2 linked regions of the Pelodiscus sinensis genome follow. The protein of the gene in region 2 purifies or fractionates together with the protein of the main gene of each other region. This does not show direct contact. Links are inferred from orthologs where the notes say so. Each region holds a gene or a part of one and is shown on either strand. Other genes may lie near its edges.

Region 1 (10,047 bases), on a different chromosome or scaffold from region 2:
ACTGCATTTTGTCCTGGCCTCCCAAATCCCCGCCCCTCCCAGGTCTCCCTGGTTACTCCCCAGTGCTTTTTTTTTTTTTGATCTCGACAAATTTTTGTCTGGTATTTTTTTTAAACCATCTGGCAACCCTAAGGCTCTACAGGAATAATAAATCTATTCACAAAACCAGCACTGCTAAAGTGCAGCCAGCAAGCGATATCCAGCACTTCGCAATTGATGCCTGAGGACAAGAGGGCCAAGCTTTTCAAAGGATGCCATACGTTGGGAATTTCAAGGCCCACGCAGAGCAGACAAGTTCTTATACATGAAGGTCTCATCAGAAAGACCTCACAGAATGAACTGCACGGAACTCAACGGCCTTCCGCCAAAAGGACACGGGATGAGTCAGTTCCCACCGAATTTGAACTTGGAATTTCAAGGGTTGGCCCATTATTTTATGCCTAAAACTTCAAACAAGCTTAAAGTGTTGGCCATGAAATGTCTTTGGACCACAGTGTCTCTTTTAGCTACTTCCCGGGCCATGATCTACTGGCAAGTCTTGATCCTTCAGAGTAATCGAATTTTGGGGGGAAGGAAGAAGGCCCCTCACTCCAGTGTGGGGCAGGTTCCCCAATAACTGGTGCATTGTATCTGCAAACTACTTGGCAGCCAACAACCGGTGAACTGGCTCTTTGCTTGCCCAGAAGTTGCGGTGGACAAGAACAAAGGAGGAAGCAAGTTGGGTCATGACATCTAGTTGGCTTGCCCTCAGCCAGCAGATGAGACTCATGCTGGTGCCATAACATCTTAAAGGGTCAGGATAAGGCAAGAAACAGCATGGGCTACTCTAAAGTGTGGCACCTTTAGTCTGGCTGCCCGTCACACCCTGGAGAACAGGCAGTCGGGACACGGGGAAACAGACAGAGGAGTGGCAAAGTTGGCCACGTAGGGGAAAAGCGGAGCTCCGGGGAAGACAGATGAGCATGTGCATTAAGCCCCAGTGTGGTCCTTCAAAGACCTGCGTTTGATTCCCAGCAGTGCTGCAGGCTGCCTGGGCAAGGCACTTAATTTCTCTGTGCTAGGTGCAACATGGGGATAATGCTTTTGGGAAAGCACTGTCGGCGTTTGTGATATGCCTCAGACACGCCGGTGTACTGATTTGACCAAAAACTTCACGCAGGAGGCACAAAAGTACAGTAGTCCCGTGCTATTTTGAGAAGACAAGCTGTTGCCAACATGGGTTCAGAGCATATTAGAATGAGGCTACGTTTACGCTACCACCTGCGTCAGCATAATTTACATCACTCCGGGGTATGAATACACCAGCTGTCGCCTGAGCAACATACGGAACACTGACAGTGATGTGTCAGCGGGAGAGCAGCTCCCACCCAAGTAGCTTCCGCCACTCGCAGAGGTGGCTTTATTATGGCGACAGGAGAGCTCTCTTTCACATCGGCATAGAGCGTCTCCACCAGACATCTGTACAGCTGCAGGGCTGTATGCCTAGAAATGGCCTTTGTCGAAGAATAATCACAATTGCTGGGAGATGGCAAAAAATAGCTGGTATTAAATAGCCTCGTGTGAAATGAAATGTTGCACATAGACAAAGAAATATCACTGATTGCTAATCCCTTGAAGAGCAATTTCCTCTTTTTCTTGAAGACAGACAAGTTGATACATGCATATTATTATTATTACTACGAATTATTACATTGTTCCGCCTTTGACTCCTCAGTGGTCATGTTTGTTCCATGGACCCTCGCTTTGGAATCATAGAACCAGAGAGTTGGAAGAGACCTCAGGAGGTCATCAAGTCCAGTCCCCTGCCCAAAGCAGGACCAATCCCAACCAAATCAATCCAGCCAGGGCTTTGTCAAGCTGAGACTTAAAAACCTCTAGGGATGGAGACTCCACTACTTCCCTAGGGAACCCATCCCAGTGATTCCCCACCCACCTAGGGAAATTGTTTTTCCTAATATCCAACCTTGACCTCTCCCACTGCAACTTGAGACCATTGCTCCTTGTTCTGCCATCTGTCACTACTGAGAACAGCCTCTCTCCATCCTCTTTGGAATCTCCCTTGAGAAAGTTGAAGACTGCTATCAAATCCCCCCTCACTCTTCGCTTCTGCAGACTAAACAAGCCCAAATCCCACAGTCTCTACTCGTAGGTCATGTGCTCCATCCCCCTAATCATTTTGGTTGCCCTCTGCCGGACCCTCTCCAATGCATCCACATCCTTTCTATAGTGGGGGGCCCAGAACTGGACACAATACTCCAGTTGTGGGCTCACCAGAGCTGAATAAAGGGGAATAATCACTTCTCTAGATGTGCTGGCCATGCTCCTCCTAATGCAACCTAATATGCCATTCGCCTTCTTGGCTACAAGGGCGCCCTGTTGACTCATAACCAGCTTCTCATCCACTGGAATCCCCGGGTCCTTTTCTACTGAACTGGTACTTAGCCAGTCCATCCCCAGCCTGTAACAGTGCCTGGGATTCTTCCATTCCAAGGGCAGGACTCTGCACTTGTCCTTGTTGAACCTAATCAGATTTCAAGGCATCAGCTGATTACATAAACGTTGCTAACAAAAATCAGCCGTATATATTAGGGCTAAATTCCTGTCTGAGGAATGACGCTGGATTTACACTGAAAGTGGACAGCAGAATTTGGCTCCAGGAATCTACCAAGGTGACTGGCATCTGGCAGCCCTCCTAATGTAAAACTTGGACATGTTTTTTTTTAGTTTCCTGGGCTGAGCAGGAAGTGTCCAACGGTTTAACGACCTGACACAATTACGGGAGACCCCTGTGATCCAAGAAACACAGCTAGAAACAAACCACCATGCTGAAAGCAACGGCTGGCTAGGAGGGCCGAGCTATGCAATATCCTGTTCCTTGCCAAACTACAAACGTGTGTCTGTAAATGCCAGTCCCCTCTCCTCCCCCACCAAAAAACCAAACCCCAGCAAATACACAGGAGCAAGCACAAAGGTTTCCACTTGTCTCTCACTGGTCAATCCTGATTCCTCGGGACATGGACGTTTCCTGCCAAATCCATTCCCTTCTTTTTACTCAGGGCCTGTCTGGCACCAGACTGGGAGTGAACGTGCCTCTCCTTCTTTCAAGCCCACTCAAACGTCCTGGGTTCGAAAGTTCACCTCCAGCGTGATGGGTGGGCCCCCCTCTTGTTTTGAAAACGTCTCACCGCTGAAAAGTGGCCGTGAGTTTAAATGACAGGAGAGAAAAACTGGTCTGCAACCGCTGTGGGATATGTGGCTTTGCAGACTTCCAAGCCTGTATTTTTGGTTCCTCACTCAAGCCAGCCAAAGTTCAAGTCCCTAATTTCCACCCTCAACGCAAACTGCAACCGCGTCTGCCTCCTCCCCTGCCAGCAGAACCAGGGGGGCACTTTTGATTCTGTTCTGTTCACTGTGTGCGCCTTCACCTCTGCGAGCCACTTGCGCCTTTTATTTTCTGCCCGGGCTCTGTGGCCACGCTGGCTGTGTACCCCGCCGTCCATTTCCCTTTGGGCCGCCCCATTGTTCTTCCACACCCATGTCCTCGTGTCCACGCAGCACGGCTCCGATATGGGCTCGAATTAAACGCTGCCCTTCTGGCCAACTCCTGGCAATGAGGGGAAGCGGCTGCGGTGGGAGGCTGCTGGCTCCCCCAGACTGCAGCCTCCTGCCAGCCCCTCACTCTAAGCTCATCCCATTTGCTGCAGAGGGGAAGGGGGGGGGGGGGAATTGGGCCCTTTAGGCTGCCTGGCGGGTGCACTAGAATAAACAAGGAGGCTCTGGATAAGCCCGCAGCATGCTGGGATCGCTCATCCTGCAACAGCCCCTGCGCTAAGCTGGGCCCCGCAGCGCTCTGTGGCTCGCAGGGCGCAGCTGCACCTGCCCGCGGTGCTTTGCATGGGGACCCCGCACCCCAGGGCCCGTGCAAGCCCGGGGAGGGGGGGCTGCGAGGCACCCCAGGCAAAGCCGGGCAGGGCTCCATGCGGGGCCGGGGGCTGCCTGCCTGGGCGAGCTGTCATGGCCCGGGGCCAAGCGCCCCCCCAGCGGCCGGGATCCCCCTGTTGCGCGGTTCCAGCCCGGGCAGGGCGCAGCGAAGCGGCACCGGCCGTGCCCAGCCCGGTGCTCCCCGGGCCGCCCGGCGCCCCCTGCCCGCGGCGCCCCCAGCCCGGCCGGGCCCCGCCGCTTACCGGCCGCGAGAGGATGCTCCGAGCCGCAGCCGCCTGCGCCGCGATCGGTGTCAGACACACAAAGAGCAGGAAATGGAGCAGCAAGTGCACTTCCTGCGCTGCGCGCCCGCTGCGCGCCCCGCCCGCCTGCGGGATGCTCCGTGCGCCCGCGCCGCGCCGCGCTGCGGGGATGGAGCGACTGGTCCCGCCCTGCGCGCCCCTCCTGCCACGCACACCCGGCACCCACCCACCGCCCTCCCCCTGCACCCACACCCTCCGTCAGCTCACACCCGGCACCCACCCAGCGCCCTCCCCCTGCACCCACACCCCTCCGTCAGCTCACACCCGGCACCCACCCAGCGCCCTCCCCCTGCACCCACACCCTCCGTCAGCTCACACCCGGCACCCACCCAGCGCCCTCCCCCTGCACCCACACCCTCCGTCAGCTCACACCCGGCACCCACCCACCGCCCTCCCCCTGCACCCACACCCTCCGTCAGCTCACACCCGGCACCCACCCAGCGCCCTCCCCCTGCACCCACACCCTCCGTCAGCTCACACCCTGCACCCACCCACCGCCCTCCCCCTGCACCCACACCCCTCCGTCAGCTCACACCCGGCACCCACCCACCGCCCTCCCCCTGCACCCACACCCCTCCGTCAGCTCACACCCGGCACCCACCCAGCGCCCTCCCCCTGCACCCACACCCTCCGTCAGCTCACACCCTGCACCCACACCCCTCTGTCAGCTCACACCCTGCACCCACCCACCGCCCTCCTCCTTCACCCACACCCCTCCGTCAGCTCACACCCTGCACCCACACCCCTCTGTCAGCTCACACCCTGAACCCACCCACCGCCCTCCTCCTTCACCCACACCCCTCCGTCAGCTCACACCCTGCACCCACCCACCGCCCTCCCTCTGCACCCACACCCCTCCGTCAGCTCACACCCTGCACCCACCCAGCGCCCTCCTCCTGCACCCACACCCCTCCATCAGCTCACACCCTGCACCCACACCCCTCCATCAGCTCACACCCTGCACCCACCCAGCGCCCTCCTCCTGCACCCACACCCCTCCGTCAGCTCACACCCTGCACCCACCCACCGCCCTCCCCCTGCACCCACACCCCTCCGTCAGCTCACACCCTGCACCCACCCACCGCCCTCCCCCTGCACCCACACCCCTCCGTCAGCTCACACCCTGCACCCACCCAGCGCTCTCCCCCTGCACCCACACCCCTCCGTCAGCTCACACCCTGCACCCACCCACCCTCCTCCCCCTGCACCCACACCCCTCCGTCAGTTCACACCCTGCACCCATCCAGCGCCCTCCCCCTGCACCCACACCCCTCCGTCAGTTCACACCCTGCACCCACCCAGCGCTCTCCCCCTGCACCCACACCCCTCCGTCAGCTCACACCCTGCACCCACCCACACCCCTCCGTCAGCTCACATCCTACTGCCACCCACCCACCGCCCTCCCCCTGCACCCACACCCTGCGAGGCTGATCTGAGGAATAGAAAATCTTCCCTCTGTGGAGACACAAACAACTGGGCTTGTTTGGCCTGATCTGAAGAAGGTGGAGGGAAGATCTGAGCGCTCTCTCTAAATACACCCAAGGGAAACATACCAGGGAGGGAGAGGAGGGATTTCAGTTATGCGCCAGTGTGGCCACAAGAACAAATGGATAGATACAGGCCTCCAACAAGTCTGGGCTTGAAATAGAATCACAGAACTGGAAGGGACCTCGAGAGGTCATCGAGTCCAGTTCCCTGCCCTCGTGGCAGGACCAGGCGCCATCTAGATCAGCCCTGACAGGTGTCTGTCTAACCTGCTCTCAAATATCTCCAGAGATGGAGATTCCACAACCTCCCTGGGCAATTTATTCCAGTGTTTAACCACCCTGACAGGGAGCTTTTCCTCATGTCCTACCTAAACCTCCCTTGCTGCAATTTAAGCCCATTGCTTCTTGTCCGATCCTCCGAGGCCAAGGAGAACAATTTTTCTCCCTTCTCCTTGTTGCACTCTTTTAGGTACTTGAAACTGCTACCATGTCCCCTCTCAGTTTTCTCTTTTATAAACTAAACAAGCCCAATTCTTTCAGTCTTCTCTCTTTGCTCCTGTCCTCTAGAACTTTCATCGTATTTGTTGCTCTTCTCTGGACCCTCCCCAATTTCTCCACAGCTTTCCTGAAAAGCGGTGCCCAGAACTGGACACAGTCCTCCAACTGAGGCCTAGTCAGCGCAGAGCAGAGCGGAAGAAGGACTTCTCGTGTCTTGCTCACAACACTCCTGTGAAAGCCGCCCAGAATCAGGTTTTATTTTTTTGCAATCTGATGAAGGTTTCTGTCCATACGAGGAGGAAGTTCTAGCACAGCCTTCCAAGGGGAGTTGTGGGGGCAAACATTCGAGCTGGCTTCCAGTACTAAGTAGGATACGTTTATGGAGGGAATGGGATACTGGCAACAAGGCCCAATGGGTAGAATTTGAAGCTAGACAAATGAGTACACAAAATAAGGTGGAAGGCGGTAACAGAGGGGGGATTTATCCTCTGGAGCAAGTTTCCAAGGGGTGTTGGGGAGTGTCCTGCTCTGGAAATCTTTAAGTGAAATGTGGATGTTTTTCTATGCCCGTACGGTCACAGCTAGTGGACTTGGAACAGTAATAAGCCAGGGAAGTTCTGTGGCCTGATTCATACAGGAGGTTGCACTGGGTCAGGGGTGGCCAACCAGATAGAGACAAAGAGCCAAAATAGCTGTGGATAGAGTGTGAAGAGCCATGTATTATATATTTAGTTGTATTGATGGGGGGGATGTATGGGGATGGGGGGGTATAGACAATTTGAAGTGCCTGTTTCCCTCTAGCTTGTTGATCTCTGGTATGGTTTACTCGTTTTTTTACTTATGAAGATGATGGCTTTTTTCTAGTCCTAAAAATTCAATCTGTCCCAGACTGCAAATCTGAGAGGTTCAAAACAATATGGGAGAGACCCACATCTCAGAATAATGGCTTCAGCCTGGCAAACAATCGCCTCTGAATTTTCTTTAAAGAAACCCAGTGTAAACTAGGTACATGCTGATTCTTTTTTTGCCCTGGGATTTAAATATGACATCTGTGTTGGCTGCCTTATTCTGCATCCATGAGGACTTTCAGTTTAAGGTGTTTCAGCCCCCCTGCTCTAACCCAATCCCCCCTCTCCCTCAGAGCCAGGCATCCCCCAGCCTCCCTGCAATAACCCAATGTCCTCGTCCTCCCCCAGAGCCAGGCACGCCTCTCCCCCCACTCTAACCCCATCCCCCTCACCTCCCCCAGAGCCCGGCACCCACAGTCCCCCTCTTCCCCCTGCTCTAACCCAATGCCTGGGTCCTGGAGCTGCTGCCACCATGCGCTTCTCCCTCCAGGCACTGGGGCACGTGTGCAGAGGGGCCGGCCGGGAGCAGTCTGGGCGTGCAAGAGCCACTTTTCTTTAAGCAAAGAGCCGCATGCAGCTCGGGAGCCGCAGGTTGGCCACCGCTGCACTAGATGATCACCGGGGCTCCTCCAGTCTTAAAATCTAGGACACTCTGGGCACAAAGTTTTAAAAGGATAGCGCTCAATGAAGTGGCCGTTCAAGCAAAACTGTGTTGGGTAAGGGGCTGATCTCAGGCTGGTTCTTTGCCTAAAAATTAGCCCCACCGTTGGGAAGCTGGCTGCCGAAAAGCCAGTGCTGGCGTGATCCATGTCTTTCAAAGCCTGTGACGTGAAGTCAGGCATCCATGATGTTCGGGCGCCCACGTGTGAGCTCGGTAGTTCCCAGAGCTGCTTGGCATCTGCCAAGGGCTGCTCATTTCTAGGCGAGCATCGTGGGAGGGTCGACAGAGGGGGCAGAACGCAAAGAGATCCCCTTTCGTCTCATACACAAATGCGCAACGTTGCTCCGCCTGGAGTTGTGGTCTGACTAGCGTGACTGTCTGCTAGAGCGGGGGTTCTAAACGTTTTGGCCTGCAGCCCACCCCACCCAATGACAGCCTTTCCACGGACCGCCAGCCAACCACCCAGATGACAAAAAGAGTGCAGGAGCGGGTGGGGGTGCGAGGTTGGGGTGGGAGCGGGCTGGGGATGGGGGTCAGGCTGCGAAGTTGGATGCAGGAGCAGGCTGGGAATGGGGAGTCTGGGCAGGAAGGGGATACAGCAGTGGGGTGTGGGCAGGAGAGGTGTATGTGAGGGGGATGGAGGTAAGGGGTCTGGGCACTTCCGCTGCTCCCAGACTCCGCCCCCTGCTGCTCCCATTGGCTGGGATTCCAGCCAATGGGAGCAATGTGAAAAGTGGCCAGGGAAGTGGTTCACCGTGTTGTCCATTCCTCCAGCCGCCAGGGGAAGGGGAGCAGCAGCAGCAGCATGCAGATCTGCTTCCTCCCTGGAATAAGCCAGATCTGGCCTGTGAGGCTTGGGGCTCCCGCCCAGCGAGAAGCTGGTGCTGGCACTCCAACCACACGAGGGGCTGCAGAGCTGGAGCAACAGTGCAGGCTACCCGCTGTGGCGGGGAGGCGGGCGAGCCCTGAAGGGGTCTGCAGACCACACTTTGGCTACGTCTACACTGGCATGATTTTCCAGAAATGCCTTTAACGGAAAAGTTTTCCGTTAAAAGCATTTTTGGAAAAGCGCATCTAGATTGGCAGGATGCTTTTCCGCAAAAGCACTTTTTGTGGAAAAATGTCTGTGGCCAATCTAGATGCGCTTTTCTGCAAAAAAGCCCTGATCGCCATTTTCGCCATCGGGGCTTTTTTATGGAAAACAAATCTGAGCTGTCTACACCGGCCCTTTTGCGCAAAAGGACTTTTGCCCGAACGGGAGCAGCCTAGTATTTCCGCAAGAACACTGACAATCTTACATGAGATCGTCAGTGCTTTTGCGGAAATTCAAGCGGCCAGTGTAGACAGCTGGCAAGTTTTTCCGGAAAAGTGGCTGATTTTCTGGAAAAACTTGCCAGTCTAAACACAGCCTTTGAGAACCGCTGTGCTAGAGCTAATGAGCAGCTAAAACAGGGAGGCTTACAGCTGGGGGAGCAAAAGGAGAGTTTATGCTACTAAGGGGGACCCGCTCACAGTTTCCCCTGTGCTCATCAAGCTGTTTCAGTGAAACAGACTGTGACAGGGTAGGCAGAAGGGGTTAAAAGCCTGTGGGCAGAGGAAGTCCCGCCCCTCCACCCAGACTGGGCATGCTCCAAGTGTTGGGCAGTATAAAAAGGAGCAGCTCTACTCGGTCTGGGCTAGATGCTGGAGAGGAAGGACTTGCTGCAGGAGCAGAGGGACCCCAGCTGGAGACCCAGGAGACAGCATTGAGCCCTCAGAGCCGGAGGAGCCTTAGGGAGAGGCTGGTGTTGTGGACCCAGAGACCACATGGAGCACCCAACACTGGATCTGGTAGGAAGTGGCCGGGGGGGGGGGGGGGGCGAGTACCTCCCACCTGAGTGAGCTCAGCGTGTTGCGGCGGGATTCCCTGCTGAGTGAGTGGCGGATCATGCCCCCACTGACAGGGCCCTGGGTTGGGGCCCGGTGGAGTAGGGTGGGCCTGGGCCCCCTTACCAGGACTACTGCCCCAAACCCCTGTGTTACTGACTCTGGCCATTAGGCGGTGCTGCCCCAAACCCAGGGGCTACACTATTGAATCAGAACAGACCGGACTGTCAAAGGGCACCAGCGGCCTGGCAGCCGAGCTGGCGGTGTCCACACCCCTTGCACCAGCCCCGGCAGGCCAGGCTGTGCATGCGACAGGGGCAGTTGTATCCATTCCCTGTGATGAAAACCAGGTGGCAGTGGGCGTGGACATGGAATATCCCCTGCCACCGAGCGCCTCAGGCAGACGGTGTGGGACTGGTTCCGCGCTCCGCATGCTACCAATG
Region 2 (9,963 bases):
GATAGAGGCAGCAGTGTGTGGGGGGTGAAGCAGCAATGCAGAGACTTTGCTGGAGGGAACCAGCTTTTAAGCCGGCTCGTCCCAATACCAGCTCCTGCTTCCCCCCACCATTCTGCCTAGGCTTATCGGGTAGTTGACTAATCGACTACTCTTTTACATCCCTAATTTATACACAAGTTTTTTTTTTTAATTATTTGTGTCACCCACTCAATCATTGATCAGAAGACATGTTCTGAACTGAAAACTTACAAATAAATCAAGTGTATTTGGTATGCATTGCAATTCCTAGTGACAATGGTATAAAATTCTGCTCAACGGAACATTATCAATTACTCATTCCTAAAGTCTCCTGTAGTGATAGCTCTGCACCTCTTTACAGGTCCATGCCTCTTTCCTTAGCAAGGGCATGTCTATATACCACAAACGTAAGTTGATTCTAAGTTGACATACAGCCTTTGCAGTAATTAAGTTGGCTGTATACGTCCACACCACACTGCTTGTGCCAATGGAGTGTATCCTCACTAGCAGCACTGCAGAGAGCAGTGCACTGTGGGTAGCTATCCTATAGTACAACTAGTCAGTCACTACTTTGTTTGATTTTAAACTAGAGCGTTTCAGATAAATTAGTGCATTTTTATCAGTTCTACTGCCTATAGTTAGAGACCTGCATAGATGCAAAATTTGTATCTGCAAAGATGAGCCACAGATATCTGCATCCATATCCATGGATGAGGCTGTGGATATAAAGTAGATGTCTGTGGATTTGCAGGGCCTTACCTATAGGCTGCTTTATTTCAGCTGTCTTCAACTCTTATTTTCTCATCTTTTCCAATTATTATGGGTTGTGCTATACACACTTCTGTAAATCAGGAATAGAAAACTTCAATAGAAATCTACCAGGCAAAATCAAAATGAAATGTTTATGGAGGTCCACCAGCCTGGTAAATAGACAACAGCTTTCCCAAACAATAGCTGAGTTGTCCCTTTCACTGCTATTCACCAGGTTCTAAAGAAAACAGTGAAACCAACCACAGTCCTGTTAATTTTACCCTTCAGCTGCTTGGAAAGACTCTCACCAGCAGCAGAAGTACTAGAGCCATTTGCATGCAAAATGGTAAGTGGACAGGAAAAAGGTTTCAGAGGGGTAGTTGTGTTAGTCTGTAACTTTAAAAACAATGACTTATGTGGCACCTTAGAGACTAACAAAAATACATAGAACCATGAGCTTTCATGGGTAAAACCCACTCCATCAGATGAGTTGGAGTTGACATTCAGTTCTCCCTTGGAAGATGATCTTTCTGTAACCCACATCCATTCAGTGTGACTCGCTGTCCCCATCTAGCGTTGGCTGGGCTACACATACTGAGCTTGATGATCCTGCTAGTAGATGCTCATGTTTTATGATTCAGAGATCAATCATTGCCACTGCCAACACACCCAGGGGAGTAGCATTAAAAGTGATGATTGTATGAGAATTCGAATCGGGTAGACTTGTGAAGTTTGGGAGGAACTTCCCCAAACCAGGGTATTACATTAAAAAAAGTTAAAAATATAAAAACAAATTTTGCAGCTGTGTTTGACCTACTTTCACCAGCCATTTATAGCTTTGCACTTACTCATGAGTCAATGAATGGATTTTCAAAGTCATGCTATTACTGTTTTTAAAATTTGTAAATATTATACAAGTCTGTTAAAGATTTTAATAATACATTTTACAAGAGGCTCAATATAGCCTTTAACCAAAACTTAACACAAAAACCCACACAAGAGTCAAACTAAAAGAAACCGATACAGAAATTCTACTGTACAGTAAGTCACAACAAAGGGCATTTTCATTCCTGTGACTTTTAATAGTAACAAGTTCTGCAGACATTTAGAACTGATGGGAAAAAAATCGTGGCTATTTTCCTTCCTCATCTGACAACCAGTTTGTGTGTGGGTTTACTCCATTCCCCATAAAGCAACATTGCAGAAGAACTGACAAGCTATGTGCCACCCTCATTCTCTGAGGATCTCCCATATTTTTCCACTATTAACTTTTCTCTCTCACAGGGCTGACCACACTTCTGGGTGCTAGTCAAGCAAGAGGACCAGAGAGGGCTTTGTAAATTATAGCCCCATTTACACCAAGAATATTTTCTATGCATTCCCCACCCACTGATTATATCAGTTCTGCTCCACTCCTGATTGCAGCTTTGGATGTCACAGACGGCTTGCCAACATTTTTAACACTGCACTGATCAAACCTCTTCTTAGCAGAGAGATATAAGGTGGTGTTAAGAACACGTATTGCCCAATCTGCACTAGGACACTGTTGCTAACAGAAGAGTTGAATCAATGTTGGCACCCATTAAAAGTTTTAGAAAATTTCCCTTTTGTAGACAGGGCCCTTAAGCTGTTGTCTCTATCAACTCCCTTGCTTCAAAAGAATACAGCTCATATCCTGAAGCAGCAGTTTTAATGCAGGCCTACAAGATAATTCAGAACAATCTGAAGAATATCTTCAGGAAGAGTATTGTCTTCAGACTGAGTCACAGCTAGGTTAGCTTCCTAAACTATCCCTTTCATATCCCACCAGCTACAGAACTCCTAAGCTAATGTCCTAGAAGAGACCAAGAATCAGTATTGAAGAACAGTGATAGAGATGTAGCCGTGTTAGTCTGGGGTAGCTGAAGCAAAATGCAGGACAATGTAGCACTTTAAAGACTAACAAGATGGTTTATTAGATGATGAGCTTTCGTGGGCCAGACCCACTTCCTCAGATCAAATAGTGGAAGAAAGTAGTCACAACCATATATACCAAAGGATACAATTAAAAAAAATGAACAAATATGAAAAGGACAAATCACAGACACTTACCTTCCGTCCCCCCCCCCCCTGCATCCCCCTCCTGTTCTGCAATGTGATTTGTCCTTTTCATATTTGTTCTTTTTTTTTTTTAATTGTATCCTTTGGTATATATGGTTGTGACTACTTTCTTCCACTATTTGATCTGAGGAAGTGGGTCTGGCCCACGAAAGCTCATCATCTAATAAACCATCTTGTTAGTCTTTAAAGTGCTACATTTTATTGAAGAACACACACACACAAAGACGGGGGGAAGGGCGGGCAGAAGAGAACTAATTCTTCCACCACCAAAATGCAGCCACCTCTGGGCTGAGAAGGCAGCAATCAGGCAGACAACAGCTTCATACCAATGTGCCACAATTCCACTCTCAAAAAACTCGCACCAACAAAAGCAGCCAGCTTCACAAAACAGGCAAAACTTTTTACACGCCCAAGCAGGCACGTCACCAGCTGTGTGGGCACCTTGGGGGAGAGGGGTGGGGGAGGAAGAAGGGTTCTTTGGAGAAAAACAAACAAACCCAGCCGTCAATCTTCCACCCAAGTCACCCTCCTCCGTCCAACAAACCCCCAAATCTGTTCACAGGCCTCTTCTCTCTACTTTCGGGTGCTACAGAAAAGCCTGTCGCCCCATTATCAACGCACGTCCTGTGCTAATCAGAGCTATACCGCAGGGATCCTGGCAGGCTCCACGGGCTCTCCCGCTCTTTGCCCTTCTCTGGCAGCCAAGCCCTTGAACAGCCCCCCCCCTTGGCGCCCCCCCCAGCTCAGGGGGTGCCCCCCACAGGGCCAGGCAGGGGCCCACACGCTTGGCAGTGAGGGAGACTCTGCTCCAGCGCCACCCCCAGGCAGGGAGATGGAGGCAGCCAGCCCCCCAGCCCCGAGCGGACAGGCCGAGCCCGCCCCCCAGGCCAGGCCTAGGCGGGGGGAGCCCCAGGCAGCGCCACCCATGGCTCATTATATGGCAGGAAGCAGGGCCCACCCCAGCCGCACGGCTCCCTATTTGGCAGGGGCCTGGCTGCTGCCCCCAGGTTCAGGGGCCAGCCAAGGAGACGGGCGTCGCTCCCTGCGCGCCCGCGCACTCACCCCGCTAGGCGGCCTCGCTTTCTGCTCCGGCTCCCTCCGCTCACTACCACCGAGGCGGGCCGCCCCTACCGTCCGCCATTCCACTCCGTGCCCTGACTGAAGCCCGCCCCGCCTCCCTCAGCACCGGTCCGCGACCCCATTGGCCCCCCGCCTCAGCCCTTCGGCAGCCGATTGGCCGCCTCGCCGCGTCCATCAAACTTGCTACGCAATTTGCGTATGCTCCCCAGCGCAGCACCAGGGCCCCACCCAAGCAAGCACCGCAAAGAGTCAACAAGGTGGAATGTGCCATATGAGCCGGGAGGGGAGAGGGCAGACACTATTTGGATTAAACGGAACAAGATTTTCTGGAGAGGCCAATCGATTATTTTGAATTATCACGGTACTGTCACTTTATTTCACGGGGATTAGGAGCGGCCGGAAAAGATTGTGCTTCCTATTTTGAGAACTGCTTGGCCTGCCCCTTCCTGGACTCCTCCTATTACTGCACTTGGACTTTGCCCTTCTTCTCTATGGTGTGAGACCCTCCAAGGAAGGTTCCACCTGGAGGAGTGGGGGTGTCATACCAGTATGACTGACCCATTTGTGAAATAGATATGGGGGGTGCACTTGGGGTGCATCTACACAACAGGGCTTAACTGGAAATAAGCTATGCAAATTGAGCTGCGTCACCTGCATAGCTTATTTCGAAACTGGGCGCATCCACACGGCACTTATTTTGAAATAGAGCACTCTTCCTCTGACTTCCCTTGCTCCTCCTACAATGAGGGTTACAGGAGTCGGAGTAAGAAATCCTCCAGCTTGCCAGTATTTCGACATTACTTTGAAATAACTGCCGGCTGTGTAGACACAGATTAAGTTATTTCAAAATAACACTAGCTATTTTGAAATAATGTTGCTGTGGAGACGTATCCTTGGGGTGCATTTACACCACACCCTTACCTCGAAATAAGCTACACAATTTGCATAGTGCAAATTGTGTAGCGTATTTAGCTTATTTTGATGTCATTTCAAAATAGCTTATTTCAAAATTTGGCGCTGTCTACACCATGCCAAATTTCAAAATAAGGCACCATTCCGAAATGTCCTTCACCCTTGTGCAATGAGGTTTTCAGGGACGTCGGAATAGCAAGCCCATTATATTTCAGGACAACAGGCTTGCTCTTAAGACGCGGAATAGCTATTTTGGGATACCAGCAGTGGGCAGAAAGGGAAGGGTAAGAAAGGACAGAGGAGAGAGGTCAGTAGTGTAGCTGTGGCTAATCTAATGCCACATCTCATTAGGGACATGGAGCTTAGGTTAGGTTAGCCACTTCATTTTGTCCATTACAACACTGATTGGGGGATGGGACAGACACGGATGGTAAAGGGTGGCAATGGCTGTTGTCTTTCATTGAAGACTATGGGGGACTCCCTTTTGCCCACCACCTGGTAATGGCCCTGCAGAGGGAGCAGGGAAAGACTGGGGCTGAGATAGGGCCCAGTTGAAGAGAGAGAAGAGATGGAGAGGGCAAGGGAGGCTGTAACGATGGGGAGAACCCAGGGAGAGGTAGTCAGGGAGAAGAGGCTGGCAGAGACAATGGATCAGGAGGCAGCCCTAGTAGAGGTAAGCAGAGATGAGGAAGCAGAAAGTGGAGGAGGACCTGTTGGGGCTGAAGAGGGTGAAGGAGAAGACAGATGTGATGGTAACAATAGGGGTGGCCATACAAGAGAGGGAAAGGACCTTGCTACTGACCCTTCTCGCTCCAGGGAGCGTGGTGGAGGCAGGAAGCTACAAGAACTAGAGGGGACCCTGGCAGAAGGGGATGGAGGAATTCTAAGGATGAGGTGTGGTGATGATGAGGAAGGCAACTGCTAAAAAAGAAAAGACTGCAGGATTTTGGGAGAGCCAAGGAGGTCACGGAGAAGACCCTGTTAATGGTGGGAAGGAGGTAGCCTCGGTTTGAGATAATCTGCCCCCTCAATTGCCCTTTACCTTGGGGAGCTTTCTCCACCTCCCTTCCTCACTCCCTATGGAAGAGCAGGGATATGGAGTTAGAGAGTTCAGATTGTGTTGCTACTAAACAGACAAAATCTAAGGAAATAGAAATATTTTGTAGCGGGCAGGAAGCCCTTTTTAAAATAACATCTTGTGTCCATGGTGGCATGATTTATTCCATATTCACAGGATCCTCATGTTTGGGATGCTCTCTCAATGCTGCATTACTGGCATTGCTTTTTGGGTGCAAGGCAAGACTTTTTGTTAAACCATTTTGGAGACCATAGCTTGACAGACTGAAATCCTGAAATATTTGGACTGTGCAAAGAAACTCGATACATCTGATCTAGTCCAGTTTTTGGCCCTGGTCCTGCAGGCTGATTCATGTGGATGAAACCACATTGACTTCAAGCCAGTTTGCTTGCAGCCACAGAGGTCTGTCTGTGCACATCTGATAGCAGGATTGGAGGCTTAGTCTCAGCTTCTAGCAGTTTCTGTTACATTGGTGCTGGGAGATTTTCTCTCTCCAGTAAAGCCCGGGAATTCATTTCTAATACTTTGCTAGTGGCAAAGGCAGCAAAGTCAAGTTAGCATCTCCTGGGAAGGACTAAACGATTCACCTGATTGTAACATATGTGAGTTGGGGAAAAAATTACCAATATAAAAACTGGAAAAAAAGTCGACAACGTAAGTAAGCTGTAAGCCTTCTAGAAGCAGATGTCTTCAACTCTGCAAAGACTTATGCGCATTCATCTTTTTGCATGTGAGCAGTCCCAGTAGAGCCAATGGGCATAAATTACTGAAGAGAATCAGGGTGAGAGTGGCGGGAGTACTGCACTGGGATTCTATTCCCAGGCTGCTGCTGGCTTGCTGGCAGGCCATGAGCAAGTCACTGCTTCTCTCTGTGCCTCTGTCTCCTCCCCCATCTATAGAATGGGGACAATGATGCTCCTGGCATTGGGAAAACACTTTGGCTGTGTCTACACTGGCATGAATTTCCAGAAATGCTTAAAACAGAATAGTTTTCGTTATAAGTATTTCCGGAAAAAGCACGTCTACATTGGCAGGCTGCTTTTCCGGAAAAGCCCTTTTTCCGGAAAAGCATCTGTGGCCAATGTAGACGCGCTTTTCCGGAAAAGAGCCCCGATCGCCATTTTCGCAATCGGGGCTTTTTTCCGGAAAAGACTACTGGGCTGTCTACACTGGCCCTTTTCCGGAACAGTGTTCTGGAATAAGGACTTATGCCCGAGCGGGAGCAGAATAGTTTTTCCAGAATAGCGGCTGATTTTGTACAGTAGAGCATCGTTGCTTTTCCGGAAATTCAAGGGCCAGTGTAGACAGCTCGCAGCTTATTCCGGAAAAGTGGCTGATTTTCCGGAATAAGTGGCCCAGTGTAGACACAGCCTTTGAGATCTAGGGCAGAAAAGTGGAATGAAGGAGGCAGTAATGTGAAGGAAGCGGTAATAAGTGTGCATCACTACTGGAAACACAGATATCCCCTTCTCTGTTCAGAAATGGCACCCTCAAAGGGAAAAGAAGAAATGGGAGCCAACAGCTTCCGTGTCACAAACGGCAGGTGTGAACAGTTGAATCAGAATTTTAAACATGTACAATAGATGCACCGGAGTGTGTTATTTAACTCTTCCCCCACCCACTCACTGCAATTGTTTCCCTGGCTATAGTTTTAAGTTTCTTCACTAATTGCTTGTTTTACTTAAAATACACAACTGGCTGGGGAAAAGTAATGGACCAACATGCAGTTAACACTATAAAAGACGTACATGTCTGTCCATTCAAAAGTACTAATCCAATTTTAAAATCAACTACACTTAATAAATTGCTGAATGCTAGCCCCTAGCTTCTGGTTGGTTGTTGGTTTTTTTTTTTTTTTTTTCAGTTTAGAATTGCTTTGGTGCTGACTTGTATCCTTTGCAAAATGCTGCTGCTGACCCAGTACTACCAGCTGACATCAATGCAGTCCTTCCTGAATGCAAGTTCTATCCTTGGGCCAGCTTTTCTGTTTCGCAGAGATTGTGCTCTGCAAACTGGGTGTGTTTCCTGATTCTCTTTTGACCCTGGTGCAGGTTAGAGCAACCTGGGAATTGCTGTAACCAGGACTAGTTTGGCAAGAGACCATCCCCTACTTCAGCAAAGCTGGAATGATTCGTGGTCCACCCACTCCTCCTTCCCTGTGCCTGCATGCTCTTCCTGGCCCCTGCAGGGAGGAGAGCATCGGAGCTGATTGTGCTTCTGGCTCAGCACCCACTCAGGACTCTCTCATCCCAAACTAGGGGGATGCAGCCAATCTCTATTCCCTTTGCATTGTACGAGCAGTACAGAGTGTAGCAGGAGAGAGAATGTGCCCCTTTGTTTTTCACACCACAGCTCTGTCTGAGACCCACTGCACACAGACATATATGATATGTGACTATTTCGCCGCATTTCTCGCCCATTCTGTCCCTCCTAGTGCACAGCCCCTTGGAAAGACAAGCCCTCTGCAGCAGTAGATCGATCCGCGGCTGAATGCTGCAGCAACTGGGGTAAACAAGCCAGTGTTCTTATCGCTCAAGAGCTCACCTATCGCCATCAGCACCCGCTACGGAACACCGCACCAACATTGCCCGGCACCCATCGCTAGCACCCCTGGGCCTGCATGCATCCCGCTTCCCTACGCCCTTGAAATAGTCAACCCTGGCAACCCGGTTCCACCCCCTCCTCCCACTTGGTCTTGCTCAAACAGCTACACCCTTTTCCTGGCAAAATCGCCCCTGCAAAGTTGAACTAATCAGGCATGCCCCACCCCTAGCCAACACCTCTCCATCTCTCTCTCCTGTGGTAACACACTTACACAGCTGTAACGCACAGACGTGGGCTCCATCTATAGGAAGGCATGAGAGGGTTCTCGCTTCCAGGTTTTCCATGCTGCCTTGAAGAGGATTTGCCTCCATCAATAGGTGTCACAGCCCCCAGGGAACCCTGTAATCTGTATCTGCACTGCAACCTTTATTGCTAGTCTGCGTGAGAGAGTCTCTTTATAACCCCTGAATTTCTGCTGAACTGCAATATCCCAAACAAAAGTGATTGATACCCCCTGACACTTGTTTCTCTATAAGGGCTGTGGTCGCCTGCCAATTGCCTTCCTGCATTTTCTGAATGTAAATGATTCTCCAGCTAAACTGCCATACAGACTGCCAAAGTGACCAGAAGAACAGCCCTACGCCAGCTGCAGCTGTGGCCATGCATCTTTTCAGCTATTTTGCTTGTGCTGTCTTTTTTTACAATGGGGGAAAAAAAAAAATCTAATGCTTATATAAGAGGCTCGGAACGCCAGCCAATGCTATGGGAAGATGTATTACAGGCTTTTCCACAACATGCTGCCCTAACGGTAGGGCCCTATCAAATTCACGGCCAGGAAAAATGTGTCACAGACTGTAAAATCTGGTCTCCCCTGGGAAATCTGGTCTTCAGTGTGCTATACAAATTTCATGGGGGAGACCAGAGTTTCTAAAATTAGGGGTACTGACCCAAAAGGGAGTTGCGGGGAGGGGGAGTCCTCAATGTTATTTTACGGTGGGTGTGATATTGCCACCCTTCTGCTCCGCTTTTAGATCTGGGTGGACAGAAAACAGTGGCTGTTGGCTAGGCACCCAGCTCCGAAAGCATAGCCCTGCCAGCAGCGGGGCACAGGTAAGCTGGCAGTACCATACCATGCCACCTGTACTTCAGCACTGCGGTCTTCAGAGCTGAGTGTAAAGGATCCAGCTCTGCAGACAGTAGCGCAGAAGTAAGGGTGACACTACCATGCCATCCTTAGTTCTGTGCAGCTGCTGGCAGTGGCTCTGCTGTCAGAGCTAGGCTCTTGGCCAGCAGCAGCTACTCTCCAGCCACCCAGGTCTGATGGCAGCACCACTGCCAGCAGCAGTACAGAAGGGTATCAGTACCACAACCCCCCTAAAATAACCCTGTGACACCCCCCCTCCACACACACAGCTCCTTTTTGGATCAGAACCCTCCCAGTTACAACACTATGAACTAGGGATGTGAACAGGTTAACTGGT

The links. The genes of interacting proteins can lie anywhere in the genome.
Region 1: the proteins of WASF2 (region 2) and CYFIP2 purify together in Homo sapiens (co-immunoprecipitation; 3 studies listed by BioGRID and IntAct, with this or other methods). This does not show direct contact. The link is inferred for Pelodiscus sinensis from reciprocal best matches to the Homo sapiens genes WASF2 and CYFIP2.

The regions. Positions count from the first base shown.
Region 1 is NC_134727.1:39,280,149-39,290,195, reverse strand, and holds the start of CYFIP2 (cytoplasmic FMR1-interacting protein 2), read right to left. Parts: upstream 4,345-10,047; 5' UTR 4,185-4,344; intron 1-4,184. UniProt on the Homo sapiens protein: Involved in T-cell adhesion and p53/TP53-dependent induction of apoptosis. Does not bind RNA. As component of the WAVE1 complex, required for BDNF-NTRK2 endocytic trafficking and signaling from early endosomes.
Region 2 is NC_134735.1:12,302,570-12,312,532, forward strand, and holds the start of WASF2 (actin-binding protein WASF2), read right to left. Parts: upstream 4,069-9,963; 5' UTR 3,931-4,068; intron 1-3,930. UniProt on the Homo sapiens protein: Downstream effector molecule involved in the transmission of signals from tyrosine kinase receptors and small GTPases to the actin cytoskeleton. Promotes formation of actin filaments. Part of the WAVE complex that regulates lamellipodia formation.